Linked DNA regions of Arabidopsis thaliana. The protein of the gene in region 4 binds, or shares a complex with, the protein of the main gene of each other region. Each region holds a gene or a part of one and is shown on either strand. Other genes may lie near its edges. A codon is read from its position in the direction of its gene.

What was found.
Region 1: the proteins of MYC3 (region 4) and JAZ1 are in contact, whole or in part, in a crystal structure (PDB 4YZ6), measured with the Arabidopsis thaliana proteins. Residues at the interface, in NP_199488.1 of Arabidopsis thaliana: Gln53 (codon at 4,420), Gln74 (codon at 4,357), Trp92 (codon at 4,303), Gly93 (codon at 4,300), Asp94 (codon at 4,297), Gly95 (codon at 4,294), Tyr96 (codon at 4,291), Tyr97 (codon at 4,288), Ile122 (codon at 4,213), Leu125 (codon at 4,204), Asn126 (codon at 4,201), Leu128 (codon at 4,195), Ile129 (codon at 4,192), Glu142 (codon at 4,153), Glu143 (codon at 4,150), Val144 (codon at 4,147), Glu148 (codon at 4,135), Phe151 (codon at 4,126), Leu152 (codon at 4,123), Met155 (codon at 4,114), Thr156 (codon at 4,111); in NP_001319041.1 of Arabidopsis thaliana: Leu201 (codon at 6,511), Ala204 (codon at 6,520), Arg205 (codon at 6,523), Arg206 (codon at 6,526), Ser208 (codon at 6,532), Leu209 (codon at 6,535), His210 (codon at 6,538), Arg211 (codon at 6,541), Phe212 (codon at 6,544), Leu213 (codon at 6,547), Lys215 (codon at 6,553), Arg216 (codon at 6,556), Lys217 (codon at 6,559).
Region 2: the proteins of MYC3 (region 4) and MYB29 are in contact, whole or in part, in a crystal structure (PDB 7FDM), measured with the Arabidopsis thaliana proteins. Residues at the interface, in NP_199488.1 of Arabidopsis thaliana: Glu49 (codon at 4,432), Gln53 (codon at 4,420), Trp92 (codon at 4,303), Gly93 (codon at 4,300), Asp94 (codon at 4,297), Gly95 (codon at 4,294), Tyr96 (codon at 4,291), Tyr97 (codon at 4,288), Arg123 (codon at 4,210), Glu124 (codon at 4,207), Ser127 (codon at 4,198), Leu128 (codon at 4,195), Gly131 (codon at 4,186), Glu142 (codon at 4,153), Glu143 (codon at 4,150), Glu148 (codon at 4,135), Phe151 (codon at 4,126), Leu152 (codon at 4,123), Met155 (codon at 4,114), Thr156 (codon at 4,111); in NP_196386.1 of Arabidopsis thaliana: Ser184 (codon at 2,899), Ser185 (codon at 2,896), Thr186 (codon at 2,893), Ser187 (codon at 2,890), Leu189 (codon at 2,884), Leu190 (codon at 2,881), Asn191 (codon at 2,878), Lys192 (codon at 2,875), Val193 (codon at 2,872), Ala194 (codon at 2,869), Ala195 (codon at 2,866), Arg196 (codon at 2,863), Ala197 (codon at 2,860), Ser198 (codon at 2,857), Ile203 (codon at 2,842).
Region 3: the proteins of MYC3 (region 4) and TIFY7 are in contact, whole or in part, in a crystal structure (PDB 4YWC), measured with the Arabidopsis thaliana proteins. Residues at the interface, in NP_199488.1 of Arabidopsis thaliana: Ser18 (codon at 4,525), Gln53 (codon at 4,420), Gln74 (codon at 4,357), Ser76 (codon at 4,351), Trp92 (codon at 4,303), Gly93 (codon at 4,300), Asp94 (codon at 4,297), Gly95 (codon at 4,294), Tyr96 (codon at 4,291), Tyr97 (codon at 4,288), Ile122 (codon at 4,213), Leu125 (codon at 4,204), Asn126 (codon at 4,201), Ile129 (codon at 4,192), Asn140 (codon at 4,159), Glu142 (codon at 4,153), Glu143 (codon at 4,150), Val144 (codon at 4,147), Glu148 (codon at 4,135), Phe151 (codon at 4,126), Leu152 (codon at 4,123), Met155 (codon at 4,114), Thr156 (codon at 4,111); in NP_177227.5 of Arabidopsis thaliana: Val219, Ala222, Arg223, Lys224, Ser226, Leu227, Ala228, Arg229, Phe230, Leu231, Lys233, Arg234, Arg237, Leu238.

The regions. Positions count from the first base shown.
Region 1 is NC_003070.9:6,616,600-6,624,120, forward strand, and holds JAZ1 (jasmonate-zim-domain protein 1), read left to right. Parts: upstream 1-5,177; 5' UTR 5,178-5,232; intron 5,233-5,320; 5' UTR 5,321-5,712; coding exon 5,713-5,875; exon of another isoform or gene 5,876-6,073; coding exon 6,074-6,672; 3' UTR 6,673-7,021; downstream 7,022-7,521. Other genes in the region: AT1G19170 (Pectin lyase-like superfamily protein), read left to right, coding at 178-648, 963-1,083, 1,163-1,411, 1,501-1,654, 1,751-2,276; AT1G19190 (alpha/beta-Hydrolases superfamily protein), read left to right, coding at 7,277-7,521.
Region 2 is NC_003076.8:2,443,241-2,450,722, reverse strand, and holds MYB29 (myb domain protein 29), read right to left. Parts: upstream 4,055-7,482; 5' UTR 3,634-4,054; coding exon 3,501-3,633; intron 3,405-3,500; coding exon 3,275-3,404; intron 3,186-3,274; coding exon 2,438-3,185; 3' UTR 2,139-2,437; downstream 1-2,138. Other genes in the region: MYB76 (myb domain protein 76), read right to left, coding at 9-138, 266-398. UniProt on the Arabidopsis thaliana protein: Plays a minor rheostat role in aliphatic glucosinolates (GLSs) biosynthesis, mostly short chained. Together with MYB28/HAG1 and MYB76/HAG2, promotes aliphatic glucosinolate biosynthesis but represses indolic glucosinolate biosynthesis.
Region 3 is NC_003070.9:26,650,728-26,658,673, reverse strand, and holds TIFY7 (TIFY domain/Divergent CCT motif family protein), read right to left. Parts: upstream 3,907-7,946; 5' UTR 3,724-3,906; coding exon 3,633-3,723; intron 3,425-3,632; coding exon 3,342-3,424; intron 2,848-3,341; coding exon 2,693-2,847; intron 2,605-2,692; coding exon 2,520-2,604; intron 2,437-2,519; coding exon 2,196-2,436; intron 2,101-2,195; coding exon 1,925-2,100; coding exon of another isoform or gene 1,870-1,924; 3' UTR 1,610-1,869; downstream 1-1,609. Other genes in the region: HWI1 (Receptor-like protein kinase-related family protein), read right to left, coding at 5,293-5,312, 5,397-5,528, 5,828-6,575. UniProt on the Arabidopsis thaliana protein: Repressor of jasmonate responses. Jasmonoyl-isoleucine (JA-Ile) specifically promotes COI1-TIFY7/JAZ9 interaction. Interacts with and suppresses RHD6 and RSL1 transcription factor activities to negatively regulate jasmonate-stimulated root hair development.
Region 4 is NC_003076.8:18,970,604-18,978,806, reverse strand, and holds MYC3 (Basic helix-loop-helix (bHLH) DNA-binding family protein), read right to left. Parts: upstream 4,786-8,203; 5' UTR 4,577-4,785; coding exon 2,798-4,576; 3' UTR 2,217-2,797; downstream 1-2,216. Other genes in the region: AT5G46770 (uncharacterized protein), read right to left, coding at 912-1,313; AGD9 (ARF-GAP domain 9), read left to right, coding at 6,990-7,058, 7,159-7,277, 7,484-7,907, 7,993-8,203. UniProt on the Arabidopsis thaliana protein: Transcription factor involved in tryptophan, jasmonic acid (JA) and other stress-responsive gene regulation. With MYC2 and MYC4, controls additively subsets of JA-dependent responses.

The DNA.
Region 1 (7,521 bases), on a different chromosome or scaffold from region 4:
GGTTTGGTTCGATTACTCAATCGAATCGGATCGTGCACACACCAAACTCTCTTCACCAGCTTCTGACACAGACTTTGCAACTCTCATGACGGATCTTTGCTTCTAATTCACTATTTCTCGGCTAGATCTGTGGCAAAACCAGAACCTCAATGTTTCTAGTTCCTCGTTAATCGAATCATGGTGGAGAATTTGTTTCCTTCTCGATTTCAATTTCATCTTCAGAGACTTGACCCGAAGCGTCGTCTTACTTCTCTCCTTGCTTCTCACAAAACACTCTTCACATTTCTCTGGATCACTGCCTTTGGTTCCGTCTTTCTATGGCAGCGAACGGCTTACATCGAAGGCGGCTCTGGAACTGGTCCTGTCGGAGGAAAGTTCACAATTTTCGGTAAGATCAAACCGATTCAGCCAATTCCCCGATTGAGACCTGTGGTGTTTGATTTGAAGGATTTTGGAGGTGTTGGAGATGGGTTTACGCTTAACACTGAAGCATTCGAGAGAGCTGTGATTTCAATCTCTAAGCTTGGGGGAAGTAGCGGCGGAGGTCAGCTGAATGTGCCGCCTGGACGGTGGCTTACGGCGCCGTTTAATCTCACTAGCCATATGACTCTGTTTCTCGCAGAGGATTCCGAGATTCTTGGTGTTGAGGTTTGTAAAATGTTTTGATTTCCTCTTGTTTTGCTTTCATTTCGAAACAATGAAACGAATGCAAAAGATTGATTGGTAATTGTTTACTGAAAGTCAGACTCTTTAGCTCTGTTTAGGTCAGAATTGCAGAAATTTAAGCACCACTAAGCTTGGAACATTAGATTTGTAGGTTACAGGTCACTCACTCTAGCCAAGTTAGAGTACAAATGACTGTGTTTGCTTGTTGTGTGAAGGAACATAATTTAGGAGATTTTGAGACTTTGCGTGATGGATGTGTGCGTCTTGTTTACTTAACGTGTCACTTTAATTGTCAGGATGAGAAGTATTGGCCTTTAATGCCACCATTGCCTTCATATGGTTACGGTAGAGAGCGTCCGGGACCTCGTTATGGGAGCTTAATCCATGGTCAAAACCTCAAAGATATTGTGATAACTGGTTAGTGGTTTTCCTCTTTCGAGTTCATGTTTGTGAAATTGTGGTAACCGTGTTAGTAACTAAGGGGTATAAGGAACAGGTCATAATGGAACAATAAACGGGCAAGGACAATCGTGGTGGAAGAAGCATCAAAGAAGACTTCTCAACTATACGAGAGGGCCTTTAGTTCAAATTATGTGGTCTAGTGACATAGTTATCGCTAACATTACAATGCGTGACTCACCGTTCTGGACTCTGCATCCATATGACTGCAAAAATGTAACAATAAGGAATGTCACCATCTTGGCTCCTGTAACCGGAGCACCAAACACTGATGGAATTGATCCAGGTATGTTCATTTACCGCTTATATCTGTTTTCCGGTTATTCTGTACTCATTTAAAACGTTTTGAACCATCTTGTTTATTTCCGTAAACAGATTCGTGCGAGGATATGGTAATTGAGGACTGTTACATTAGCACCGGGGATGATGCGATCGCGATAAAGAGTGGATGGGATCAGTTTGGGATTGCATATGGACGACCTTCAACAAACATTCTTATTCGTAATCTCGTTGTTCGCTCTGTTATCAGGTAAAGTATTTTCTCATTTCTCATCTTACACCGCAAAACTTTGAAAACGTTTTCTTTTAAAGCAAAAGAATGAAAGTGTTCTATATGTTTTGACAGTGCTGGTGTATCAATCGGAAGCGAAATGTCTGGTGGAATATCTAATGTGACGATCGAGAACCTTCTGATCTGGAACTCACGCCGTGGAATCAGAATTAAAACGGCTCCAGGACGAGGCGGTTACATCAGAAACATAACCTACAAAAACCTAACACTAGACAATGTTCGGGTTGGGATAGTGATCAAAACGGATTACAACGAGCATGCAGACGATAATTATGATCGGAAAGCATACCCGATACTTTCGGGATTCAGTTTCGCGGGAATCCACGGACAAGGAGTGCGAGTGCCGGTCCGGATCCATGGAAGCGAACAGATTCCGGTAAGGAATGTGACGTTTCGGGACATGTCCGTTGGGTTAACGTACAAGAAGAAACATATATTCCAATGTTCGTTCGTGAAAGGACGAGTGTTCGGTTCGATATTTCCTCGACCTTGCGAGAATTTTGATGTTTACGACGAGGAAGGTCGTCTGGTTAAGCCTGCAGCTGAGTCCAATGTGGCGGACATTGACTACGACATTTGAATGTTTTTTCAGTTCATTGTCATTTGTGTACATAAAAGTAAATTTTGGGACACAAAAATGAAAATTATTTTTCTTTGGACCATTTCTCTTCGTCGTTGGGGTTTTCTCATTCTGATAAATAGTTGTAATTTTAATTAAAGTAATAAATATAAATATTTATCACAAATAGGTCAACTAAAGATAATTCGTTGATGAACAAGCAATATATTAGAACAAAGGAGTTAAGTTGCTTTATTGATCGAATTAAAGAATAAAATTTGGATGAATACAGAACTCAAACTCATAAATGTTGTTGAGGTTCATAGTTTTGCAGTAGAATGCTTAGAAAAATCAAAATCTCCATGTTGAGGTTATTAATATTGAAAGCACGTGTTGTTGTATTCGACTCAATTACTAAACTCGCATGTTAACGCATGACACATGATAATATCGGCATATTCAGTGAACCAGGTTGGTTCATGATCCCTTCCAAAGCGGACTCACACCTTAGACTCGGAGCTCACACGCCAAATCGCTCGGCTAGGTTTTGATAGCCAACTCCGGCCAAAAAACCAATCGCGAGAATGTGGTTTTTGATTGACCCAACTCACATTTTGACCTAGCACGAAAACCAAACACCAACATGAAATAAGATAAACTATTCAAAATATCTAGTTTTATATAAAAATCTTAATTTAATGTCACGAGAAGCATGTTCGCACTACTAAAGTTAATTAGCACAGTTTCGAACATTTATATATGTATATTCTGCAGAACACCGACGACTCCAATAATGGTCACGACTCACGACCCATGTGGAGTAATAGTTTTCCTTCTTTTTTAACATTTATAAATTTTAATATTTATTTTCGAAAGGCTAACAAACGCATGCGTACCTTTACATGAAACAAAAAGAAATTGTAGAATAATATTGTTTGAACATTTCTAGATATTCATGTGCATATTGTTCAAAACTTGTGTATGATTGTATCATTGATTGTTACATAAGTATTTGTTAAACAAATAAAAACTATACAACGTGGCTACGTATCAATCTATGCTTAGCAAAGTCAACCATGTAAATTTTGTAAGTATTACCTTACTCTAAGAAAATAAAACCCTAAACGAACAGATAGGCTTGCACCTGTATAATATATTAGACATTACAAGTCTCTACAATGTTGGTTTATCATTAACAAGGACTAAACAATATACTATAATCATACAATAAATTAAGAGTCGTAAATTAATGGTAAACTCAACTAATGCATGAATAGTTGTAAAAGTATATATATTTGGACACGTTACTCAACTTGCATCGCGGATCTGTATTCCTTCCCAACCACTACGTACACGCATTTCCCACGAGTTTGACGATCTTTCTCGTTTAATCTAATCATATCTACTTTTATAGGCTCCATAGCCCACATTTCATATCTTATAGTACGTTCCAACTTCTAACCAATAAACTCAAAACTAGTTGAGTTTTTTAATTAGTGAAATATATCTTGAATTTTATATATCTAATCTTGCACCAATAAAGTTTCTGTCAATTATGTAAAAGAAAGACTCGTTGTATCAGTATGGGACGACTTTTTCTTCTGAATTGTGTCGATCGAGTCCATATTATAATACTTTGTCACGTACTTTGTTTACTGATTAATTTAATATAATTGTGTCGCATTATCCAAGTCTAATTAAACATTAATGTGTATATTATACACCAAGTTACAATTACAGATCTATCTCTTAGTCGTTTTATTATGTATAGCCTACAATGAAACATGACATCAACGTATAGGTGAAGCTGAAGCCTATACATAAAAGTAAGGTTTTGGAGTTTGTTTCATGTTTTAAGGTTTTAGATATTTTGTGATCGATTTGCATGTATAGGGTTCCAAATATCTGAGCTTTGGCTTGGTCTACTTTGAGAAAGCAGCTGTAGAGATCAACTTTAGCCGTTTAGGTGATAAAATCACATTAGAACTCTATAGGTCGCGTAGCAGCGTATAAGAGCCCTGGATACTGAAATACAAGAATCTCTCCACGCGTAGAAAAACGAACCAACCATGATAAAACACGTGTCATATCGAATAGGTACAGACAACGTGCACTTGCCAACCTTCTTTCCTTGTAGTTTCCTTCTTCTTTGCTTCTTTTTTTCGTTAAATATTGATATTGTTCAAAAAACGCATAACAACAAAAACGTGGTCGACGGAACATGTGGGTGGTGGAGTTGTCTTCTTTAGGGGACCACTCACTAACGCCGTTTACTTTCCCGCTTGGACGATAACACCCTTGATATATGGATTAGTCTCTCTTTTGCTTTTGGATATCTTAATATATTTTAATATGTCCATTTTTATATTGACGACCATTTAATTAGGTCTCAGTTTGTATTATTGATTTTTAGGTGCCAAGCATTACTTTCGTTACGTGTAATCTTTTGATTATTCAATCAAATTATCATATGGTTCATGGCATTTTATCAATTGTGACGGTCGACATGTGGGTTGACTTTGATGTATGACTTTTAGCTTGTGCCTCATTTTTATTCCAACTCGACAACTAGCAGACTTTATATTTTAATTTATTTCTTTCTAGATATTAGACAATTCTTAGCTTGTCTCTCTGCATGAATCACGCGTTAATATACTTATAATAGTAAGTTTTAAAATGTTTCGAGTATAATATCATATTAGATTTCAATTATAATTGTAAGATTATTTAGTCTCAATGAAGAGCATTTAAAAATGTGAAAGAGTTTAGGCTTTGACTGTTGACTGGTTCTAACGCGTTTTGCTTCTTATTTATACAAAAAGATTTTATTTTATTTTAATTAGAAATATTAAGTACTTTTTAGACGTGTTTAGGTTGATTAATTTCTTGTTAACATATCCGATAAAAAAAAACAGCACCAAAATCACGACGAGAATTATGCCTACGTTACGTTGATAATAAAGATTAGAGATAAAATGTAACCTCTCTTCTCTTTACATCATTACATGCATCTTGTGTTTTATTTGACTTTATTCTTACCAACAAACAACCAATGGATAAATTAGGCTCGTGAAGGAGGGCAAACTCGTAATTTCAAAGAAACGGAAAGCGTCAGAACGTGGAGAACAGTGAACCGAGACACATTCCCGATTTTTCTAAAGAAACAAAATAAAACACGTGTTTTTTATACCATAAGTAAAGTAGTAGTATTTATTAAACTATTAATATATAGCTTTGTTATATTGGAGGTAGGAAGAAGAACTCTGCAACCAAACCAACCAACCCCAAAGCCAAACAAAGTTTTATAGAGACCTTCCATTTCTCCCTCTCGTGACAAACGCAATTTGCAGAGAAGCAACAGCAACAACAAGAAGAAGAAGAAAAAGATTTGAGATTACTTTGTATCGATTTAGCTATTCGAGAAACTCTTGCCGTTTGAAAGTTTTAATTGTTAAAGATGTCGAGTTCTATGGAATGTTCTGAGTTCGTCGGTAGCCGGAGATTTACTGGGAAGAAGCCTAGCTTCTCACAGACGTGTAGTCGATTGAGTCAGTATCTAAAAGAGAACGGTAGCTTTGGAGATCTGAGCTTAGGAATGGCATGCAAGCCTGATGTCAATGGTAAGAAACCTTCTCTTTCTCCTAGATCCACTTCTTTTTTCGTTTTCTCTGTTTTTTATTTCTTGAATCTTGATCTTGAAAACTTTTCAAGAAAATTTTGAATCGATTTCAAAGAAATTAGGGAGAGTTAGTTTGCTAAATTTTGACATAGAAAATGATTGGAGAGAGTTCTAACTTTTGGATCATATATATTTGCAGGAACTTTAGGCAACTCACGTCAGCCGACAACAACCATGAGTTTATTCCCTTGTGAAGCTTCTAACATGGATTCCATGGTTCAAGATGTTAAACCGACGAATCTGTTTCCTAGGCAACCAAGCTTTTCTTCCTCATCTTCCTCTCTTCCAAAGGAAGATGTTTTGAAAATGACACAGACTACCAGATCTGTGAAACCAGAGTCTCAAACTGCACCATTGACTATATTCTACGCCGGGCAAGTGATTGTATTCAATGACTTTTCTGCTGAGAAAGCCAAAGAAGTGATCAACTTGGCGAGCAAAGGCACCGCTAATAGCTTAGCCAAGAATCAAACCGATATCAGAAGCAACATCGCTACTATCGCAAACCAAGTTCCTCATCCAAGAAAAACCACAACACAAGAGCCAATCCAATCCTCCCCAACACCATTGACAGAACTTCCTATTGCTAGAAGAGCTTCACTTCACCGGTTCTTGGAGAAGAGAAAGGACAGAGTTACGTCAAAGGCACCATACCAATTATGCGATCCAGCCAAAGCGTCTTCAAACCCTCAAACCACAGGCAACATGTCGTGGCTCGGTTTAGCAGCTGAAATATGAATGCTAACCACCCTCAAGCCGTACCAAGAAATTCTTTTGACGACGTTGCTTCAAGACAAGATATAAAAGCTCCTATCTTCATGCTTTTTGATTTAAGATACAAACTACTCAATGATTAGGAAACTTCATATATTTGTATGTATTGATTAGTGATCAATTATTGTTAGTATTCGTTATAGTCTGTTTTTCTACTAGTTATTGTCGCCTGTCTAAATCCCCTTGCTATGGGTTATCTCAAAATTAGTTTCGTATGTAACTAATTTTGTAAGAACAATAATTTTTGTTGACGAACCATACTATCAAATACTCTAAATTATATCTTGATAAATCTACCTATCAGGTAAGTAGGTGTGTTTTGTTTTCATTTGTTTACTTGTTACCTACTAATCTCATATTTTATGATTCAAATTCAAACCCGTGAATTATGAGTTAGTAGGTAGGTTTAACAACATGTCAACAACTAAAGAACAACGTGACATCTAAACCAAACCAAAACTATAGAGAGTTCAGAGTAGTCGTAGTCTCGTAGAGATCATTCATATAAATAAATCGCATAAACACCAAAATCAACTCTTAATTCTTTCCTAATCATCATTAATCTCTAATGGATTCCGAAATCGCATTCGACTATTCTCCGAGGTTTCGTATATTCAAGAACGGTGGCATCGAACGCCTCGTACCCGAAACATTCGTCCCACCGTCACTAAATCCCGAAAACGGCGTCGTATCTAAAGATGCCGTCTATTCACCGGAGAAAAACCTCTCTCTCCGCATTTACCTCCCTCAAAATTCCGTCTATGAAACCGGCGAGAAGAAAATCCCACTACTCGTCTACTTTCATGGCGGAGG
Region 2 (7,482 bases), about 17 Mb from region 4:
ATACGTACTTATTGCCACGAGATGCATGAAGCATGATGATAATCTGCTCTTCCTCATAGCTAAACTCTCCTCTCTTGATATCTGGTTTCAAATAGTTAGTCCACCGTAATCTACAACTCTTTCCACACCGTTTCAGCCCTAAACTCGAAAAAAAGCAGATAAAGATCAAATGATCAATTAAGAGAATAATTAATACATATTAGTAACAGATTGTGAATAAATTCATATTATAGAGACACAAATGCGTCTATATATAGTTATGTACCAGCTTTTTCTGGAATGTCACGCCAGCCTCCTTCACCGTGGTCGTGGATATAAGAGATGAGTTTTTTATCCTCTTCTGTAGTCCATGCTCCTTTCTTCAGTCCTTCTCCGATACAATATGGTCTCTTTGACATTTTCTTAGTTATATCTAGAACAAAAGTGCGTATAAGAAACAAAAATCAGAAATAGTACATAATGTAGGATATCAGAGATTACGAATACGGTTATTATTTTCGTCAAGGGTCTTAGTTTTTTTTTTCCTTTGTAATCAAAGATCATTACAACGACAATAGATCAAATAAAACTAAAGAATATTACCAAAAAAGAAGAAGAAGAAAAAAAAGATCAAAGATCTATGAAGTCATTTGTACACGTACGATCTACCTCTTCATATAGTCAACATCACGGTAAGTGTCATGCACTCGTGACAATAAACTTTTAAACCACGTAAACTAATGAATATTAATAGACATGTTAAGCTTATCCGCAGAGGTGGGGCTAGTGTAGAGTTATGGGGGTCAATTGACCCCTATAACATTTATTAATTTTTTGTTATAAGGTAAGTTTTACAATGATTTATGGAAATGGTGTTATCAAAGAATTAAAAGATATGTCACTCATTTTAGCATCTAATTAACGTGTATATATAATATATGCACACACATTTATTACTGCATTATGCATGACATTTATCTACAACACAATAATTATTAATTAATGTTATATGATAATATGCAATTGCTAAAATATACTAAGAAAAAAAAAAAAACATTAATCAATCAAACACCATTTACATCTTTTTACGACCGTTGTTCATTATTTCAATTCTTTGACACCAATACAAAATAAAACTAAAAATGGCAGATAGTGATATTTGTCAAGTCCCTGCGGGAAGGAAATTAGGTATAGTAGCCAGAATCTTGGACGGTGCACGTTTTTCGGCTTCTTTGTCTATCTGCCCATATATGTCACACAGCCTTGCTGTCCCTCTAGTCTCTATCCACTTTTTTTTTTTTTTGTCATTAAATTCAGGTGTTATCATCTAATCTAAAATATTTTCACATTTTAACATGTTTCGTATTGATATCTAAAAACAACCAATTATCGTGTAGAACAAAGCAGTCTAATTAGTCTACTTGGATATCAATCAACACACAAGATTGTGTGCAAAAATCTGTGGTTTTTTTCTTTTCACATCCACTTCTCTCTTTAAGCTTTTTAATGCAACAACTATATCTTTAGTCCCTATATGCATATCATTTCCTAATTTCCGGCTGATAGCTTAATTCGATTCAAGATTTATAAATCTTGAGAATCTTGGCTTAAACACCTTCAGCTGCCCACCTCACAAACTGTCTAGAAAAGAAAATAATTTGGCCTCTAAATTGGTAGCAGATTTTGTACGACATATTATACAAACAGAAGTTGCTTCAAAATTATCTTGTTAATCTTCATCAGTTGGATCAAGTATCATTTCTCTATCTTATTTCATGTTTTTAAATGAAAACCTTACGGAGCATTTGAAGCTAAGGCTTGCACATGTTTAAGGTAGAGAGACTTCAGAACTCTCTGTTTTTCCCATGGAAATTTTGTCTCATAGAGACTGCATCGGATTTTGCCTCTTAACAAAAACACATTGGATCTCATAATTGTTCATCGATCCCTTGATAACTCACTTAAGCTATTTTTTTGTTGGTTAATGGTTACTACTTCTAATATATCCATGAAACTTATCCACAAAAAAGCTTATCGACTTTCTCAGTAGTCAGTAGGGATTTGTTTCTTCGGAGTTTCATATCACCAAAAACCTAAAATGTGTTACATATTTTTCATTGTTTTTGGTAACATGGCTCAGACTGTCAGACAAACTAAGGCTCAAACTTTAAATCAAATGGTTTTAGTACAGTGAACGCTTGCAATCAAATGGGTGTTTTATTTATTATTTATAGTACGTAAATCCACAAACAACAATAGAAGGAAAAAAAACTCGTGTCTCCCGCAAATCAAATACTAATTGATCCACGGCATCACAAGGTTCTCTAACTAAGAGAATCCATTACTGAATATTAATATATAGTGACCCTATAGTGGACCTTTACTATAACTTGACAAATATCTAAGAGAACCATATGACATTAACCGGTCAACTCTAGTCCGGTAAGCAATCAACGGATCATATGAAGTTCTTGTCGTCGTAATCTTGGCTCGTGTCATAATTGAAATCGGAATGGTCAAGGAGATAATTTGACCAACCAGTTATGTTTTGCATCATCTCGTCTTCATCAACGCTTGTTGATGAGACATCAGACATAAGAAGATCTTGGTTATATCCTCCTCCAGTATTGTCAGCTTCTTCCCCTTCGTTGTTACTAAACTGCTCGAGAAACTGCGAGAAATCGTATTCGGAATTGTTGATGCTGATATCTTCTTTCATATGATCAATTATGTGTTCAGATGACTGATAGAATGGATCAAATTCTTCCATCTGAAATTGACTTGTTTCAGAAAAGTCATCATTTAGACATGAAGACAACGGTGTAGAGCTGATCAAGGTTCCTTCGATGGAGGCGCCTAGTATAGTTCCCATGGAAGAAGCCCTAGCTGCAACTTTGTTTAACAGTTTTGATGTAGAACTCGATCTCTTAAAACAACGTTTCTTGGAGCTCAAGGAAGCATCATATTTCGGTGTCTCGTCACTGCTGGTTATCTCCGGTACATTTTTGGAGCTTGAAGGAGGAAGAGACTTTGGAGAGATGGAACCCGATTGCGATTGCTCATCCGGGTTTGAGTCATAGGCAAGTGGCTTGTGGGTCACGGGATCGATTCCCTTATCGATCAGGAGCTTTTTGAGATGCGTGTTCCAGTAGTTCTTAATCTCGTTATCTGTTCTTTTGGGCAAATGTCTCGCTATGACTGACCACCTTTTAAGTAAAACATATATATAAACTTTAATAATGTGTTAATTATATATACCCTTATTTATATGGATTTCGGCAAGCTAGGATTTTACTTGTTGCCGCGAGAAGCGTGTAGCATGATGATAATCTGTTCCTCCTCATAGCTAAACTCTCCTCTCTTGATGTCAGGTTTCAAATAGTTAGCCCATCGCAATCTACAACTCTTTCCACATCGTTTTAGTCCTAAACACCATCATTTGTCATAAAAACAACAATTATAGTTATATATATGTAAAAAGTGTTTTAAAATATATACATAATAATAAAGCACATATATACCAGCTTTTTGGGGAATGTCACGCCAGCCTCCTTCACCGTGTTCATGAATGTAAGAGATGAGTTTCTTGTCTTCTTCGGCAGTCCATGCTCCTTTCTTCAGTCCTTCTCCCACACAACATGGCTTTCTTGACATCTTGTTTTTCTTCTTTTTTTGATATAGATTTACATACAACCTATAGGTAAGAAATAAGAAAAAGAAAAAATAAGAAAAGAAAAAAAAAACAGAATGTCGTCGAGTTTAAGGCAATAGACTGATAGATCTCTTGATGAGAACTCTGATGCATCTGAATATGAAACTGACTGAGAAACTGTGGTAGACGACCGTTGTAGGATTTTGTGTTTTCATATTAAACATTTAAAAGAAAGACTAGGAGAAGATATATCAAAGTTTCAAGACATTGCAAGCTACTACTCCTCCATGCATAATTATATATGTTTATGCATATATATAAGCCTGGCACTCGTGTAGAATGTACTTTTTGAAATAACTTAAATAAGTAATAAGCTTTTTTTAAATAAGAATATCAACTCATCATCAAGAGTACTTTGACCCCCCAAAAAAAAAAAAAAAAAACTCATCAAGAGTGAGTGTTAGTGACAAGATGTTTTTGGAACTATTCAAATGGTTTGAGAGAGACTTATGGAATATTTTCTGCCACTAGATAAATAATCAACATCACAAATACAGTGCCGACCCAAAGAGAAATATCATAAATACATGACAACTTCATAAGTTACCATATATTTTTATTAGAGTTGATTTGATAAAGGGCAATGGGAAAAAATATAATTAGAAAAGAACAACTTCATAAGCTCGAGTACGTATCGACAGAATGTGGGACAAAATTCTGTGCTTTATTTTTTCTATATATAGATTTATAACATATATTTATATGATATTTTCTTAAATAGATATATCTATATTTAACATATTAATAATAATATAGAACTTAAAATAATAGATTATACAAGTATATATGATGAATAGTTGATCAGCTAGATGTCAACGTAGAACTGCAATTTTTTTTTTCTTTTTTTTTGTAAAATAGAACTGCATTTTAAAATAAACTATGTTCCCTTAAATAATTAAATGACATAATAAAAACCGTCAAAAATATTCAATTGATACGTATATTAACAAATTACGAAAATAAACTAAAATTATACGTTGTGAAATAATTGAATGATAAGAATAAAACTGTCTGAAACATGCTTTTTGATCTAGTGAATAAAATAGATTAAAAGTTTTTTTTTTTTTTCGTCAACTAAAAGTTATTTCATCTATTCATTATTATTGTATTTATTGTCATCTAATGCAAATAATTTTCTCTCAGTACATTTTATATCACGTGTGTTCTTTTTCAACATCGGTCCTATTTGTTTGCCACTTTGGGTGTAACACTAACGCTGAATTCAAAATTTAAATAAAGTTATTTTGCTCAATTATTAATGTTCGTTTTTTCTCATCTAATCACATTTCACATCTCGCATCTCAAGTAGTTTCTTTTATTTTAGTTACGCCTCTTCGGAACATGCAGAGTTAACTCAAAACCAAACATCCACACTCAAAATGAAACCCCAAAGATAGCTGCATAAGTTGTAAGAAAAATATCTACAGACAAAATGAACGTAACATTATTTGTTTTATTTGTAACCAATACAGATTCAAACCACTTTAACAACAACAACAAAAAAAAAAAAAAAATTCAAGCCAAAACTCAAAATAAAACACAACATAAATTTATAATCTGTAAAATGTACTATATGTTTTTATTATTTAAGACATTAATAGTGATCGAAAGAAAAGAAAATACATCAATTTCGTATATATTATTAAAATTTGTTCTATTAATCCACATGGAAAATCTTTTGTCGAGTCAATCAACCCATTCAGCCAGACTTGTAAACAGTTCTACTTTTACTTTTTTTTGTTAGGGTTTTACGTTTTTGAATAGTGAGAAGAAAACTTCAATAAAAACAAACAAAATGTTTAAAAATGCCTTGATAAAAAATGGTACGTGTTAATTATAATTACCCACAAGGCCACAACCATCAAAGTGATTTATCATTGATTTTAAATTAATGAATTAATTATTAGATACAAAATCAGTTACTATCTTTCTAGTTACCCTCACTCTAGCTCTCTCGAATTATTCTGTCTCTCTCGTTTATGAATTTTGTTCTAGTTAATCGAAATTTGACGAACAAACTGTTTAAATATTTTCTCATCGAAAACGTAAAGTATGACCATGTGGCGAAAACATTGTTATTTGTGGCCCTACCGAATCGATCACTGATCAAAGTTTGTGGTCTTTCAAACCATTTTCTATATTACCAACCACATGTATTTAAAACTATTGCTATGCATGGCAGCATGGGCCAAACCCAAACGTCGTATATATTGCGATGCTACCAAAGTTCCAATTCATAATTTGGGAAACAACGCAATCGTTGAAAATGGTAAAATTATGTGGCGTACGTAGAATCTCCTTCATTCACCAGCTCCAACCATCAAACATGGCCGACGCCCTCCGGGTTTGGTTCCACTCGAGAGCCTAACAAAGGCTCTGTTTTGAAATCCTTTATACCTCTGTTTTTCCTTGGTTTTAAAATTTTCTGAAACTCAAAAAAACGTTATGCTTAAAGCTGCATATATTGTAACCAAGGACTTTTTTGAATAAATTTTACATTGATTCAAAAAAAAAAAAAAAAAAAAAGACAACCCTCAAATAACAAAAGAGGATCTTTATTTTACTTTTCAAATGTGGGCAGGAAAACTATGTTTTAAAGACTTGCCCCAAATCATGAGTTTCATTTAGTATTAATGATCTTTTGTAATAATTAGTTGGTCAAAATTTTCAAAATCCCCCCAGAGTGCATATTATACCTTAGATATCCACCGACATAACTAAATAGGTGTAGCAATAATACTATATATTAATGATTTTTAGTATGCCTGTTCTATGTTGCTTAGCCTTATATAGGTTGTCACTTTCGTCATTATAAATGCAACTTGAAAATACTATGGCATGAGATTTGTGACAAACGCGAACGCAATGGAGAGACGAGGTCTTGATCATTGGGCTTGATATTGAGCCAATCATTCAAATTATTCACTTTTTTTTTTTGACACCTCAAATTATTCACTTAAACAATAGTTTTTAATACCATTGTGAATAAAATCAAAGATCTAATAAGTTATTGTGAATTTGTGATACACAAGATCAGTATACGATTTCAAAGCTGACTCCCCCTCCCATTCATCATAACATAAGTTATTCGGTAGATTTTACACTTCTTTTTCGGAATAACAAAGGGCCTGATAGAATTAATTACAATGATTGATAGTGGACATGTAGATAAGGAAATATATATAAGAATCATAGTGGACCTAGATAAATAGACCCATAGAACTAAAGCAGTAACAATTTTTGATGGAAAGAAACATAATATATATTTTTAACTACAAAACAAAGTGAAGAAATGATGGAAAAGTGGGGCCTAAGGACAGAGGCAACAATGACAGGCCCATTGACACTCTCATATGAAAGGTTCATGTGGTTCTCCCACTCGTCTATTGCTAATTATTAACTTTATCAAATGCAAAGTATATTTCTCATTAATGAACAAAGTAAACATTACAAGAGTATATATAGTATGAGAGTAAAGTAACAAACTATAACTAACTCTCATATAGGCTTAATACACCCCCCTCAAGCCGAATCCTGTATAGCTTGACCTTTTTGAGGAAGGAAGAGGCTTGACACTGATAGACGACCAAGGATAGACCGAAATGGACCTGGTTGAAGCGCCTTAGTCAGAATATCAGCAAGTTGGTTCTCTGTATCAACATGAAGAACCTTCAAGAAGCCATTCTTGACTCTATCTCGTGTAGTATGACAGTCGATTTCAACATGTTTAGTTCGCTCATGGAACACCGAGTTATTTGCAATATGCATAGCCGATTTATTATCGCAAAAGA
Region 3 (7,946 bases), on a different chromosome or scaffold from region 4:
TAATTCTAGGAATTTTTTACTTAGCGCTGTGTGATCCTTGTTGATAAAGTTTCTTAGAGGATATTGTATAACACTGAAACTCTTGAAACAATTCAGCTTCTAATCTGTTTATTTGATGTTTGTTGATCTGAAAAATGTGAGATGTGTACTAATCGTGACTTTGTCTCTGCTTATGACCCGGCATGGCACTGCATCGTTTCGAACCACACACCGTAAAAGGAAGAAACAAATTCAGGGTTTATCTCAAAAATGTATTTTGTTTAAAACGTATGACATTTATGTTTTTGGATTATTTGTGTGAAATTGTTTATCGCAGATATTCATGTCCTTGTGGACCTTGTCTTGTCTTCAGAACAATTTTATGGTCACACAAACCTTAGAGATAATACAAGTTTTGGTTTATATTTCGTTAATGAAGGAAACAATTGTGTCAACAAAAAGAAGACGTTTTTAGGGAAAGCTATGTTTCTCTCTATACCAATGGATAAATGAGAGAGAAGAGACCTTGGCTTTCTTCAAAAAAAAAAATGAAAATAATGTAAAGTGATAGAAACTATTAAAGTCAAAATCAAAATTGTATTTATTAATTAAAATTTGTATGAACATGTAGTATAGAGGTTTGTACCAGAAATGTTGATGTCACAATTGATTTTAAATCACTTTATTGTTGCTATATATCGAGTGATAGAGAGAAGCAAAGGAGTTAAAATGTGAAGCAGAGTACAAGTTTTGTTTAATTTTATAAAGTAAAAGAGAGTACTAATTGAAATGGAGAGTGAAGGAGATAACACAAAATGAGTGTTGGGAATCATAAATCCATCAATTCATGAAACAATCTAAACACAAAAGGACTAAACTTAGCCCCAACAATGTACTTTTGAATTGTGTAGTGGTAGTTCAAATTGCACAACTTGGTGGGGGCATGAAAGGACAAGTGAGTAAATGATGATACAACATATACACGAGAGAGAGGATACGCAAAATGATAAGACCACGACGATCGTTCTTATCCACTCATATATATGAACGTGTTTTTGGTGATGAATTTAGAGGTTAAGCTCTCTTTTTTGTCCTCCTCACCAAACTTTTGCTTATGTGCATCTCCTTCACCATTATTACTTTCCTACAATTATTTATCTGCCTCTAAATAATAATATCTATAAGATCTTTCCGCTTGTGAAGAGAATCTCTCTGTTTTCGTAATCAACATGTGAGCTCTTTTGGTTCACAATTTTTTTTTTGTTTACTGTAGCACATAAACTAGTAGTATTTATTCTCCTTAACATCAAATTTTGAACTCGTGACTTTCATAAAAAGCTATTTAAAACATGAATATTTTCCTTTGAAAACATATCATTTTTTGTAATATATCATCTTAGGTATTTTACACAATCATCAACCTCAAGAGAATTTTCACCTTCTTATTTTCTTTACATTGATACCAAAAAAAAACTCGAGAGAATAATAGTAAAGTGGACTTGTTAACAACGAAAGCTGGCGATACAAAACTAGTACTATTCTCTTTAGCGATGCATTCAATATGATTTTGGTATAAATCAATTAAGTGTTCATATAATTAGTTAATGAAGTGTGTTTGTGAAATTAGCAAAAAAAAAATTATAGTGAATTTTATTTGATATTAAATTCTTGACAGACATGAGTCCATGACAAACATATATCTGTTAGTTCTTAAAGTTATAATGTAATCCTACAATAAACAGACCAAAGCATTACAAACAATGATCAAATACAGAGACGCCCTAACGTCTTCTCCTGCTCGTAAGAATATAAATGGTAACTATATAATCATAATCTAATGATTACAATTACAAATTACCATTGTAAAAAAAAAAAAAAAAAGTGTAGGTTTTATGTAGGAGAAGTAGAAGAGTAATTCATTCCACTGGATTCTCCGGTCGACAAATCAAGAAGCATCTTCTTGTATGGCATTGCACTCATAAGCCTGCACCAACAACATCAATTCTTTTAGATTCAATTGAAAAACCTCAAAATTTTCTATAAAGAAAAAAAATACAAAATCAAACCTCTCTTTGCGCTTCTCCAAGAACCGAGCCAAGGATGCTTTCCGAGCTTGAGGGACTGGAAAAAAGCAATTTTCGAGTTTAGACATATGATTTGAGGAAGCAAAAATCTTGATTATATTTTGTTTTGATGTTGATATTAGACACACATACCTGAAGGAATCATGTTACGAGGAGCTGCATTGAATGATTCGATCATGCTCATTGCATTAGTCGCAGCAACGGGTGTGTCCCTACACCTTGAGAAATTATCAGTGTGAGTGGCAGAGCTTGATGAGGTAGCAGCAGTGTTATGGATTTGTTTTCCATACATTCTTTCAGCTTCTCGAACCGGTTTGCTATCTCCAGTTTCACCTTTCAAACCGTTCCCGGCGCATAACATGATGGCTTGAGCCTACTCACATATCATGAATAGTCCGTTTTAGAACATGTAAATGTTATGTAAATGTTATTTGTATGAATCTTGATTATATATACCTTATCGGGAGATATGTCATTAAAGACGCTTATAGTTCCGCCATAAAAGATTGTGAGCTGAGGAGATGATCCGGAGGAAGCCACTCTGTTTCCACAAACCCACATAACCAAATCAAAATATGAAAAGAGCAAAAAAATTGTTGAATGTTTTTGCATCATAATATGGAAATTACCGTGGAACAAGAGAAGGATGAGTTGGTAAAGGAACTGAACCGCCTAGTAAAAGCGGCGTCGCGTTTTGAAACGCACCACCAAATTGGCATCTGCGGAAAACATTGGCCGCAGAAACTGATCCCCACTGGTATGCACCCGGAAACGCCTTAGCCTCCTAATTTGTTAAATTCAAATTTTAATCGTCAACGTCTTTAAATTTTTTGTACATTCTAAATTTAGAAAAATGCCAAGAAATAAACGTGATCCAAACGCCAAACACCAAACGCCACAAAATATTAAATTATTTTTTCCCTAACTTTGCGGCTGGCAGACGACCGACCCTACCAGCTCTTAACTAGCACTTATCCAACAATTTTTTTTCCCTGGTTAATGATTGGCCACATACACAAAAATGATAAAGTTCGGCCATTTATCCGACCATTTTCCGGTGGCTATCTCTTACGAAAACAACTTTTCTCATAAATATGTGATTGATGTGTTTAACATAATTTGAAAGTAAATTCTTCTTTTTAATCAAGACCATAATTGAGTACTCCTCTTGCACATGCTAAAAGACGACCATGATTATGCGGTAGCTTATAGAACCATTAGATTAGCCATAACATCTGAAACTGATACAGAGTAAGTTAAATTTTAAGATGAACCAACCTGGAAATCTGAAGAAGGCATGAAACTTGAAGTAGCAAAAACCTTTGACTTCCCCCATTCTCTAGCTGCCTTCGTACTTAACCCTATAAGTATCATTTTTTATGGTCGTCAATTTGACTAATCTATCCAATCTCATTTTTATAAAAGATTTAATGGAATCTTTTTTTTTTCAAGTTTTGGAATCTGAAAAATTATATTTAAATAAACAACTTTATACGGCTATGTTAAAAGTGAAAACTGATCTCTTCTTGAAACATTAAAATAAAAGATTCTCGAGACAAGAACACAAACCTCGTTCTTCGACAGCATCATCGTTAACCTCATGCTTAACGTTATTACTTAGATACTGCTTGTCGCTCAAACCCAGAAAATCTCTTTCCATTGCAAACCAAATATTCAATGACAAACTCTCAAATTAACGTGTTTCTCTCTGTTTCTTGCCCAAAACATCCAATTTAAAGAAGAGGAAGAAGAAAACAGAAGAAAGAAGTGGGAATCCACAAGGAAGGTTTCGTTTTGGTAATGTTACAGACACACTTTTGGAGAGGCTTATTTAACTCTTTGCCTTTCCTGTTTTTAAAGGCTTGCTTGATTAAAGCATGTGGGGCTTTTTTCTGACCGGTACAAACGGTTGGTGCTACTGGTTAAACCGGTTAATTCACACGTGTTTATTCTTTTGATTTTTTCATTTCTGAGGACCATATACAATTAGACATCCGTCGACCGTCGGTGGCTCTAGTTTATAATAGTGCATGTTTTTTTTCAAAGGTGGATTAATTAGTTTGGCTATTGGATATTTTCTTCGTGAACTCACACACACATGTAAAATGTGTGGTTGCTTTTCTTATGCAACGGTTTGGTATTTATCACATATTTTTTTCTTTTCTTTGAAAATTATTTCAACTATAATAATAAATGAAATGATAAGCCAAGACTCTTTCGTTGAGGCAAAAGTAATGTCACGTATTGGATATACAATAACCAAATCACGAGAATGCTCAATGGGCTGAAAGAAGTTTGATTTGCTTATCTAAGGCCCATAATTTTGTTTACGGCCCGACTTACATTAAATCTGTTCAGTATAACTGTACAGATTTGGCTAAATTGCATTCCAAACTAGACCTCCAAGAACTTGAGTGAACTTTTGCTAAGCTCATTTCATAACACGTGAAATTTTTGAATCTTTGATACATCATGTTGTTATTTGAGACCAATTTTTCTTATTCATATAATGTTTCAAACAGACGCAAGTCATTTATTAGTCATGTTACTCATGTACAAATTAAAAGAAGAACCTGGTTATGAAGCAATCATCGGTAGTACATTAAGAATTTCAGAAAATTAAAAAAAATATGGAAAAGAATTAGACGTTAGTTGGTCTTTCAAAGTCCTAAAACGATTTGGTAGTCAGCTTACAATTTTAAATTATCATTTTTAATGATTAAAGGACATTAGGCCAAGTCTTCAATTGAGTTCTTTAGACAATATGAGAATAAATAATGATGAATACGATGAAAAGATTCGTTCAGACATTCGCAATAGGACGAACACAGTTATCATTTTTTGGATCTCCATCCTGATTTACGGTTTAATATGTTCCATTATTCTCGACACGTTCATTTATTTTAACTTGTTTGTGTATTGATAAAAGAAGCTCAAACCCTTTTAATTACTGTTATTTTTTGCATAGACGAAAAACATGGCATTTATAGAAGATAAGAAATCGAAGGTTTCATTCACATCAAAGAAGAAGATATCGCTTTGGCCTATATAAGTCCGACAATTATACAAAAATCGATTCGGAGATACAATCATATCAATACTATATCAAATTATCAATATACTATAACTACGTACATCTTATGAGGGAGAACAAAAAAAATTACAAAAATACAACTAACAGTGTGGCTCGACTCGAGTTGTTGATTGATATCTTTCCCACTTTGTCCTTTCATTTACACCATTTCTCATCTGCAAAAGGCATATACATAGTAATTTAGATTTTATGATCGATAAAAGAACTGAAAAAAAAACGTAAATCAATATCAAAAATACCTTGTAATTTTCTACAACACTTTCCAACAAAAGCGAGAAACACAACGAGCAAGATGATTAAGGTGACGATTCCTATTATTATCGCCAATGTTTTTCCCACTCCATTATCATCCTTATTGCCCTTCTCTCCTTCTGCCAAATATATATATATATAATTTTAAAACTATCCATCCACCTCTAAAGTTTTTAATAAATTTGTTTTCTCCATCAAGTATAATGTTCATATTTTTATTTATGGTCAACACTATCAATTTTATGGGTTTAAAAATTTAGCGTCGTACACAAATATATAAACCATTAGACTAATTGTTAAGATCAGTCTAATATTTAAATTTTCATCTGAGGTTACGTAAAAAGGTTTTTTTTTTAGTGATTACGACTTTTTATTTTTTTATCTAGTTTAGTTAAAATAAGTTTAGAGGAAGACTGACCATGACCAAAGTTTGGGCCTGGGGTCTGACGCGCGTGACTACCACCAACACTGAAACGCGCGTAACATTTCGACAAGTAAACATATCCTCCCTGAGCCATTCCACAATCAGATTTGAGCCGTCCGATTGCATCAGACAAGCAATCTTGGCACTGTGATGTACTTAGATCACCGGAGCACTGAGCCACACCCTGAACATTCCCGTTGCCACCTGTCCTGTAAGATCCATCTCCGGTACCTAAAGAACCGATGACGTCACTAGCTTTGGTCAACGCATCCTGGTCGTTGAATTCCATCGGCTGTCCACATTTGTTGAGGATCAACGTTTTGTCTTGAACCCCAAGGAACGATTTGTTGTCGTAACGGATCAGACAATTTTCCATCTGCAAGAACCCGGAGTACGAGTTTGAACATAAGGCTCCGACCTGTGCGACGGCGCTTGATACGCACGTCGAGCAGGCGGTTGGGTCTAGGTCGCCGCGGCACTGGTAAATACCGTATACGGTAACGGTTGGTTCCGGTTTCCCGGTGGGAACTGTGAAGTTGGCGTAGCGGGTTTGGGCGGTTGAGGTGACGAAGGAAGAGAGGAGGGAGTTAAGATTTGTCTCGTAGCCGGAGCTAGGGGAGAATTTAGCCGGAGAACAAACGGCGTATATGTAATTGTCAGTGGGGGAGGAGGAAGATGGGTTCATTAGTATAACGGCTGTGAGAAGGAAACAGAGAAGGGACGTCGTCTTTGTCTTGATCATGGTTACTTTTTGTTTTGAGAGATAGAGAAAGAGAGAAGATGATTTGGTAAAATATAAATTGAAGAGCGAAGACTTGCTTTAAAGATAATTGACGTAAAGAAGGGTACTCTTATATGTGGTTCCATGTTGCATGCTTTTGGTTTTTTTTTTTTTGGTTTTTGGTTGGGGACGTTCTTAAGAATTTCCACAATTTGCAAGTTCCATATCATTGAAATTACTAAATAATTGCAACTCTTTCTTCGTTCAGACTTTTTTTTTTAAAGCTATAATGTGGAATTTGGCAATGTGCGTCTATCCATTACAACTTTCTTTTTGTTAATCTATCCTTACTCATGTCATTTGAATTCAATTTTTTATTTTGACAGTGACTCGTGTGAATTCGTTAGCCTCTACCGTTACTACTAATTACCCTTACTTGCCAGTTGCCACTTATCAAGAAGGCAATAAAACTGAGGAGTTAATTTCTTATAGTATTGTGAAGTTTGAATGCGTATAGAAAGGCCAAATCGGCGGACTTACCACGAAATTAATAAAAAACCAACTTCTTTATTCATGTATTATGTATATATAATCAACACAAAAAGATATGAAAATTTGCATTCAACTAGTTTATTTTTCTTATATCAGATGATAGGAGTGACGAAGCAATTCTCGCATTATGTGTGTGTATATAAAAATTGACAATAGTAGGTCTTTTTTTTTGTTTTTCTATATCATCAGAAAAAAAAAGCAATACGAATAATACCGAGCAATGACGACGTATACGTCATGAAAACGAGTTATGGTCATTAATATATTACATGTAGTATAGCGTATAGAGTTTGGATAGGCAATGGTACTTGAAAATGATTTTAGAAGATGAATTTTAATTATATAGAAAGGGATATTGGCGTGCTGGTCGAGATGTTGTATACATTTATGTAAGGGTTGTATCAACATTTTATTATTTTTATTAGTATGATGAGAAATCAATCAAGTAACTAGGCTGCCAACGTCAAAGTTCAGTTACGGGACCGGTGAACGAATAGAGAAGACAATAATGTTATTTGACCGACTTTTGTTTAGTTCTTATAACCACAACACCCATAGACCTTTTCTTTGGCTATAGATTGTTCTTATTGACTTTAGTAATACTATTTCTTTTTGTTGGAAGGTTAGATTCTTTTATTATCCATTGTAGCTCAATTAGTAAAGACCTTAGGCGAATCTTAGAGGTCGCCAGTTCGAATGACGCTTGGGACGAAACTAATATTACATGCTGTGGTTTCGAACCTGAGGGGATTACGGGCTTCGGCCCAGAATTTACTGGTATTCAATAAAAAATAAAAAATAAAAAAATCGTTACGGCTGCAAAAGAATTTATTGTTGTAC
Region 4 (8,203 bases):
AAAGACTAAAGTTGATTATTTAGGAGTCGTATTTTTTATACCATGGTTTTACTACGATTGATCAGACTAAAGTTGATTATACAAGTGTTGATAATCTAATAGATCGTCGAAAAATTGTAGAACTGTTACATCTCTTATCGTTAAACTAGCGATGTGAAATAGCTGAGAATATTGTTTTAGTAACGTTGATATTACTTTATGATTGGTGTGATTGTTAAAACCGTATATCTTGTATTGCAATGGTATAGTTTGTACTATATAGCGATATGCCGATATGGATAACGATTAAAGAAACGAAGCTATACCACAAAAGTATATGTCATGACGATTCGAAACAAAATCTGCCATGTCAATTGTGTATTAATTATTTCGAAATTACGCAGTGCGAAAGTAGGCCCAATTGTAATGATGATTTACTTAACTTTTAAGTCGAGTCATAATACTCTTAGAGAATTAGAGATAAGTTTTCTTGTTTCTCTTATGATTGATTTTTTGTTGCTTTGTTGGTTACTAATAATTTTCTGAAAGATAGCAAAAGCTTTACTGCTTATGCAATTTGGCTATTTAGATGGAATAGTATACCACCAATAAGGATGATCTCTCGTGTTACGCAAGAAACTCGAAAACAGATATGAAAACGATTTTAGAAAAGAAACAAAACACTTTAATGAAATTACGTTTTCATTCAAAGACAAAAAAGAAACATAAAAACAAATATTCAAAGAGAACAAAACGTGACAAGTAATAAATCAATGGAAACGTTTTGTCGTCCAAATAATACTATTATACATCTCACATATTCTATCACGATTATATAATCACGAATCTGGATTTGAAACTATATGTAATCAGCTTTATCCTCTCACATTTATATAAAATCTCAGAATCATGATCAATCATTGATCATATATTCATATGTTAATCTTCCTTTTTTCTTCTATTAATCCTTGATCTCTCAAATTCTCAAAACTCCAATTCCTTCGGACTCCAGTGCTCCTTACGAGCTTTGGTTGTTCCGGCCGGGTTGGTACATTGCTAGGGCTAGAACCAACAGGACCACTTAGCCTAACGTGATGAATCTTTTTCACCTTCTTCATCTTATGCGCTAAAGACGATCCTGGCCGTCCAATCTTCTCATAGATCCTAGGACTCAAATTCCCTGACCAATTTCTCCCACCAATAGGATTTACACAACATGTTTTACCTAGAACATTGTTAATCTCGACCCTTGGTGGTCCAGGACCGGAGAGATCAACATCTTTGTTGGAATCTGTTCGTGGAAGGGCTTGACATGATAGACAATTTAGGCTCATGGCTTTTTTGCGATCTCCTTACGACAATGGAGATCAATAATGAGCGAGAGAGAGACAAGGAAGAAGAAAGAGAGACTATATGGTTTTATTTAGTTAGTAATATGTTTCTTGTTTTATTTTAGTAAAAGACTAACGAGAACTAATCTAATTTTAGTGAAAAGTGTATATTTGTAAATTCGATTTTGGGTAACACACACGTTGCATGTGTAAGTAGGGATATCGCCTCACACGTTAATTAACAACTATAACCTTCATAGAAATGAGAGAGTTTTCTGTCTTTGGTCGTTGGTTATAATCAAAGACAAATTTTGTAAGAATTAACAATAGTTGTTGTCATATATATTTTCATTACAAAATTATAGTGTGAACGAATGAGTGAACAACTATTTAATATACATATACCTAAGATAGATGAAAGATGGCTATAATTTTCTAACATCCTTTAAAGAGGAGGGGTCAACTTTATGGTACTACATGAAAAGTATTTTTCAATTTATTATGAAAACTTAAGTTGGTGGTTTTTAATTAGAACTCATCAATGGTGGAGAAAAGTAGCTTATTGGCAACTTTCATTGTTGATTATGCAGTAAATGTTCTTCATGTTTGCAGAAAATCAAATGCCTTCACATTTTGGTTTAAACAAAAATTTGAGACTAAACCTACTAGCAAATTTTCGGATTTAAATTCAAATTGTGATACTACAAACTCAGTTCCAAAAAGAATATTCGGAAAATCTTGATTTTTGCGGTATATATGTTACTAAACTACTTAAAGACTAGTCGTTACTAATGTACACAAGACTATAAGAATTAAGAAACATAGGTAGATCACACGGCTCTCTAAACATAGAGATATACTCAAACTCACACATAAGATAAGATAAGATAGGCACTAAAAGACTTCCTACTCATTACTTAAAACTAACAAATCTTTGGTTTAACTTTTAGTTTCTTTTACAAACAAATCACACATGTCTCCACATTTTTGGCATTATAAACAGTTTCCTCATACCCCCTTACAAAGATAAGAGCACTATCTCTAGGCAAAACCCATTTACAACCACTTATTTTCCTCAGCTTTTTGGTACACTACAGTTCATAAATTTGGACCTTTATGTACACTACAAAGTTACAAACTAACAAAAAAATTCAATCATAGAATAAAAAAACTTCAATAGAATTTAGGATCTCACTTAATCTTACTCCATACATATATATACATACAAGTACAACCAAAGATTTTATTATTTCGCTAACTCTCTCTGGTCTTCTAGTCTCCAACTTCCTTCTCACTTAAGGCTTATGATAACACTAAGCTAAGAACTAAGCAAGTTCTCCTAATGAACAACAACATTTAACAACATGAAGCGAGTGATGCAAAATGAGTACTTACTACTTTACAAAAGACCATACATTACCCGCTAAATTCGATCCCATTTCATCGATGAAAACACTAGTTTCCCCTCTTTGATATGCCAACTTTGTTCAATAGTTTTCTCCGACTTTCGTCATCAAAGCAACTTTGAGCTGGTCATGATTGAAAAATTGGCTCCCCATCTTCACCGTAGCTTGTTGAATCATCAAATCATTCACAACGGATAAACTCGCATGATTCACTTCCAAATCCAATTCCTTAAGTGCTTCCATGAACCTAGCACCGGGATGATCTTTCTTGCCGCATTGTACACGTATCATCACATCCCAACCTATGATCTTAACATCAATCTCCATTTCTATAGAACTCGCCGTAGAATCTTGATTCGAACTTTTCCGTTCTTTTGCCCTTGACCCGCAACCTTTCCCATTATTCCCTTCCTTACTCATCCCATCTAGCTTCTTCTGAATCTCCTCTTTATCAGACTCCGCTTGCTGCAGCTTCGACTTAAGCTCATTGATATACGAAATCGCGTCTCCGAGAAGCGAAGCTTTATCCATCTTCGAAACGTTAGGAACAACAGCTCTCAAAGAGTAGAATCTCTGGTTTAACTTCTCTCTTCTCTGCCTCTCTGCTTCAACATGATTCAACGGCTCTTCTCTCCCATTCGCCGGTTTCCTCCCCCGTTTCCTCGGCTTCTTCTCCGGTGGCTCAACAACAATCGCTTCCTTAACAACAGATGCTTCAAGATCAGAATGATCCGAATCATTCGCAGCTGATCTAACCACAGTACTAAACGAAAGCATCCCTTCATCATTATTACTCCCTTTAGATACCGAAGTTCTCTTCTTACTACTCTCATTACCACAGAAACTCAAAGTCTCATTAGATTTCAACAACCCACCTTGAAAGGTCAAATCTTTCTCGACAAGACACGAACTTTGACGATTCTGATTCTCTACAGAGCTAATATCATTCTTCTCAAGCTTAGAAATTTGATGAGAATCAGACTTAGAATTAGAATTCGAGTTATTACCATTATTAACCCTCGCCGGAGATTCGATTCCGGTGTTCGTCGGTTCACTAATCCACAAAGCTGGATCATTCTCTCCTTGATCTGGATTCAGATTAAAACCCCACGAAGAAGCTTCAACACCATTGTTTCCACCACCGTTGTTGAAATTAAACAAGTTGTTAACTTTATGCATCAGATCTGAGCTTTGACTTATAACCTCCGACGAACCAAGCTCAACGACGCCGTTTTGAGTCGCGATACACACCATCGTCTTTAACCCGTAAATCTGACCTTGACCCGCTCTTTCACAACCCGACCCGGTTAAAGCACCAGACCCGGATAACCAAATCACACGAGAGTTTAAGAAAGATTCTCCGGGGAGACCAACACCGTTAACGAAGCTTTGAGTCATCGAAACTAAGAAGAACCATTCAGTATCTGTTACTTCTTCATCGTTTGATTCATCGGAAACCCCAATTCCGCCGGAGATTAACGAGTTAAGCTCACGTATTACTCTTTTCCGATGCTCTTGCTCCGCCGTGTTGGTGTTGTTCTTCTTCTTCTCTTTATCTTCCTCTCCTTTGTAGTAACCATCTCCCCAGCCGAGGATCACTGTGTTATCTCCGGTGGATGAATCGAAGTCGTGTGAGATCTGCCAGAAGATAGCGTAAGTCCAGTTTTCTCCGGCGGATTCTATTAAAGCTTGGAGACGTTGTTGAAGAGTATCTTCGTTGAACTGAGGCTGAGGTGGTTGTTGTGGTGGTGGAGGAAAGAGAGATGAGTGGTGGTTTGTTCCAATGAAAGCTTCCATAGCCGCCGCCGACGCGTCATCGTCGGAGGTCAAGAAGTTGATTGATGATGTTGTGCCGTTCATGTGAACATACGCCGGTTGAAAAGGTGATATTTTCCGGTGAAAGGTGAAGACTTTTTTCCGGTGAGAAGAAGAGAGAGGTGACGTGTAGGGAGGAAAAATCAAAAGAGGGAAAAAGCTAAGCAAATGGCGTTTAGTGATTGTTTGGAGAAGATGATTCTCTCTACAATACTATATTTTATTTTTATTGTTTTTCTAAAACAATTGTAAATAATTTTTTCTTATTTTCTTAAGTTTTTGTTGAGAGTTGCGACATATTATATGACAAAAACCAAACGATAATAATTTGGTTAACTGTTACGAAAACGTAAATAAATTATTCATGGAGTGATAATTCTCGTTTGGACACTGTTTTGTCTGAAACATAACTTAGATCCGTTTATTATCACATAGCCACTTATTGTTTTATGGAGAAAAAACTAATAAATAATCCATTTATGGTGATATAGTGACTTAGAGTTTCGAATATGGACCAATGCTATAATTCAAAATTTCATAAGTTAGAAATCTAAAATATAAATTTTATTTTTCATATAAATTAATATTTTAAACTGCAAAAAAGAATTGCATTTTTAAAAGGAAAAAAATAGATTCTACTCAATTTATATCAATTAAGTTAGGAATTTAAAATAATATTTCAACTGATTTTATGTTAGTTATAGGAAAATAAATATATATGAAAAAACTAAAAGTGTTTTCTTTCTCCAATCATCTTTTTTTTTTAAATATCATTTCATTATGTTCATTTTATTAAAAATCAGTTTGAACCGTTAATATGAAATTTACGTTTTCAAATAATTATCCGGTGTAAATTTTTTTTTGGTGTAATGGTTAACTAAATATCCATTAATACTTCATCACACCATATATGAAGTTTGATTTTCATAGATTACAAATTATTGAAGATTAATGGAAACGATTTCTATCTAGAGATTTTAGTGTGGTGCATAGAACCGTATGTCGTAGTACAGTACCATCTGTCAAACTGTAAAATTGTACAAGCATCGATGTAAAACTATCGGTTGTGGAGTTGACTACGAAAACCATAAAAAGAAAACTCAAAAAATGATTTGCTAGTCCTAAAAATTATTTGTAATATATATTCAAATAATAATGTATCCAACAACATAGCAACTTCCGTTCAATTTTTGAAAGAGGAAGAAATTAACGTATAAAATTTGTATTTTCTCTATAAAATTCATATTCGAATTTATTTTTTCTTAGACATTTTAAATTGTTTTTTTCTTTTTTTAAATATTGGAATTATGTTGTGTAGCCCACTTTAATTGTTTGGGTCCTCTGTCTAGGCATCGTCTGTCTGCTTTCCATGTTTCTGTCACCATAATTGACATATCTATTTATTAACAATCTTCATATTTTTGTCACGGTATACTGTAAGTTTTCTTTAACCACATTTTTTTCATCAAATTTTTTATCGTTTGGCTAAAACTATAATGACCAACCAAAGTATATAATTTTTTAAAACGTTACATATGATTTTTTTGTCAAAGTTACACATGATTATTGACAAAGAACTACACATGATAATGCCAACCATTACTTATAAACAAAATATCCAGAAAAAAAAAGAAAGAAGAAGAAAAGTAGTCAGTGAAAAGGACAACATGTACAATAATATTCAATGGTTAATCACGATGGCTAAAATGATCCAGCTCACGTGATTCTCGTGGATGATGTAATTACAAAACGACTTTAGACCCACTAATCGTACACTAACATATGATTATTGACATTACATAATAAAATATCTCTACTTCTTGCCAGTTTTCTTACAAGACATTGATAAACATGTTACATGTCACAGAAACATTGTATCAAGTAAAAAGTTTTACTTTATCAAAAAAGAAAGAAAGTAAAAGGTTCGAGAGGAATTAGTGAAGATAACCTAATTTAATACCTTAATGTACTTCCATAACAAGTCGATTTTTTGGATTTAACAATTATTTTGGTTTTCAATTTTTCACAATTCTGTCTTCATCTTTCAAGCGATCCTCTTTGCGCTAATAACAAGATGGAGAAAATCATGATAAAATTTAGCGATGAGGTTTTATCCTTTTTCATTTTCTGTTTTATGGTTAAGTTTTGTGATTAAAGAATTAGAAGTTTTTTACAGGATTTAGACTATGGTTAGAGTTTACATTTGATTTAGAATTGTGTGACTTTCATATAAAAATAATGACATCTACGAAATTACGAAATACAAATATGGGCTTATTCATTATTGGGCCATACAAGCCCATCGAGTTTAGTATTGATCCTCTAATCAAAAAACGTAAACAAATAAGATAACAGAAAAACAAAAACAAAAATTTCTGCTTTGAAGAAGAAGAGTCGATCCATAATCGCCACTTTCAGATTTCCAGATTCTGGGGAAACATCTCTAAACTCTTCAACGATGGCGACTGAGAATCTCACCGATAAGAATGTTGTTTTCAGAAAGCTGAAATCAAAATCCGAGAACAAGGTTAGGGTTACTCAATTTTCGATTTTGAATTTCGTTCAGATCTGGAGCTTATACGACCTAAATCTTCCGAATTGATTTATGATTTTGCTTCGGTTTTTAGGTTTGCTTTGATTGTAGTGCGAAGAATCCAACATGGGCTTCTGTTCCTTATGGGATCTTCCTATGCATCGATTGTTCTGCTGTTCATCGAAGTCTAGGTGTTCATATCAGCTTCGTCAGGTAAAACTTTGAATCTTGAGGAACACAAATTTGAACTCTTTAGGCTTAATTTTTAGCTTCATGGACTTGTAGCAATGTTTCACCTTCTGGCTAGGGTTTAAGCTGTGATTAGGAAGATGTTGACTTATTTTTTCCTGTTGACCACTCTATTTATAGCATTTCATGTTGTTGTAGATCTATTATAAGATCATATTGTTTTTGTGCAGGTCAACGAACTTAGACTCGTGGAGTCCTGAGCAGCTAAGAACAATGATGTTTGGAGGGAACAATCGAGCTCAGGTGTTTTTTAAGCAACATGGATGGAATGATGGTGGTAAGATTGAGGCTAAGTATACTTCAAGAGCTGCTGATATGTATAGACAGACTCTTGCTAAAGAAGTTGCTAAAGCCATGGCTGAAGAAACTGTTTTACCGTCGTTATCCTCTGTTGCTACTTCTCAGCCAGTGGAATCATCTGAAAATGGGTTTACTTCTGAATCTCCGAAAGAGAGTTCTTTGAAGCAAGAAGCAGCTGTTGTCTCTTCACCAAAAGCTTCTCAGAAAGTTGTTGCTAGTACGTTTAAGAAACCTCTTGTTTCGCGAAAGTCTGGGAAGACTGGTGGTCTTGGTGCTCGTAAGCTTACTACTAAGGTAACGTTTTTCGTTTTTATAAAGAATTATAGCTTAGCTTCTCGGTTCTTGGTTTTGATTAGATTAGTATTTGTTGTATATGTAGTCAAAGGATAACCTCTATGAGCAGAAGCCTGAAGAACCTGTACCTGTGATTCCTGCTGCTTCTCCAACCAATGACACATCAGCAGCTGGATCATCATTTGCCTCTCGATTTGAGTACTTTGATGATGAGCAATCTGGTGGGCAAAGTGGCACACGGGTGCTTAGCCATGTTGCTCCACCAAAGTCATCAAATTTCTTTAATGAATTTGGAA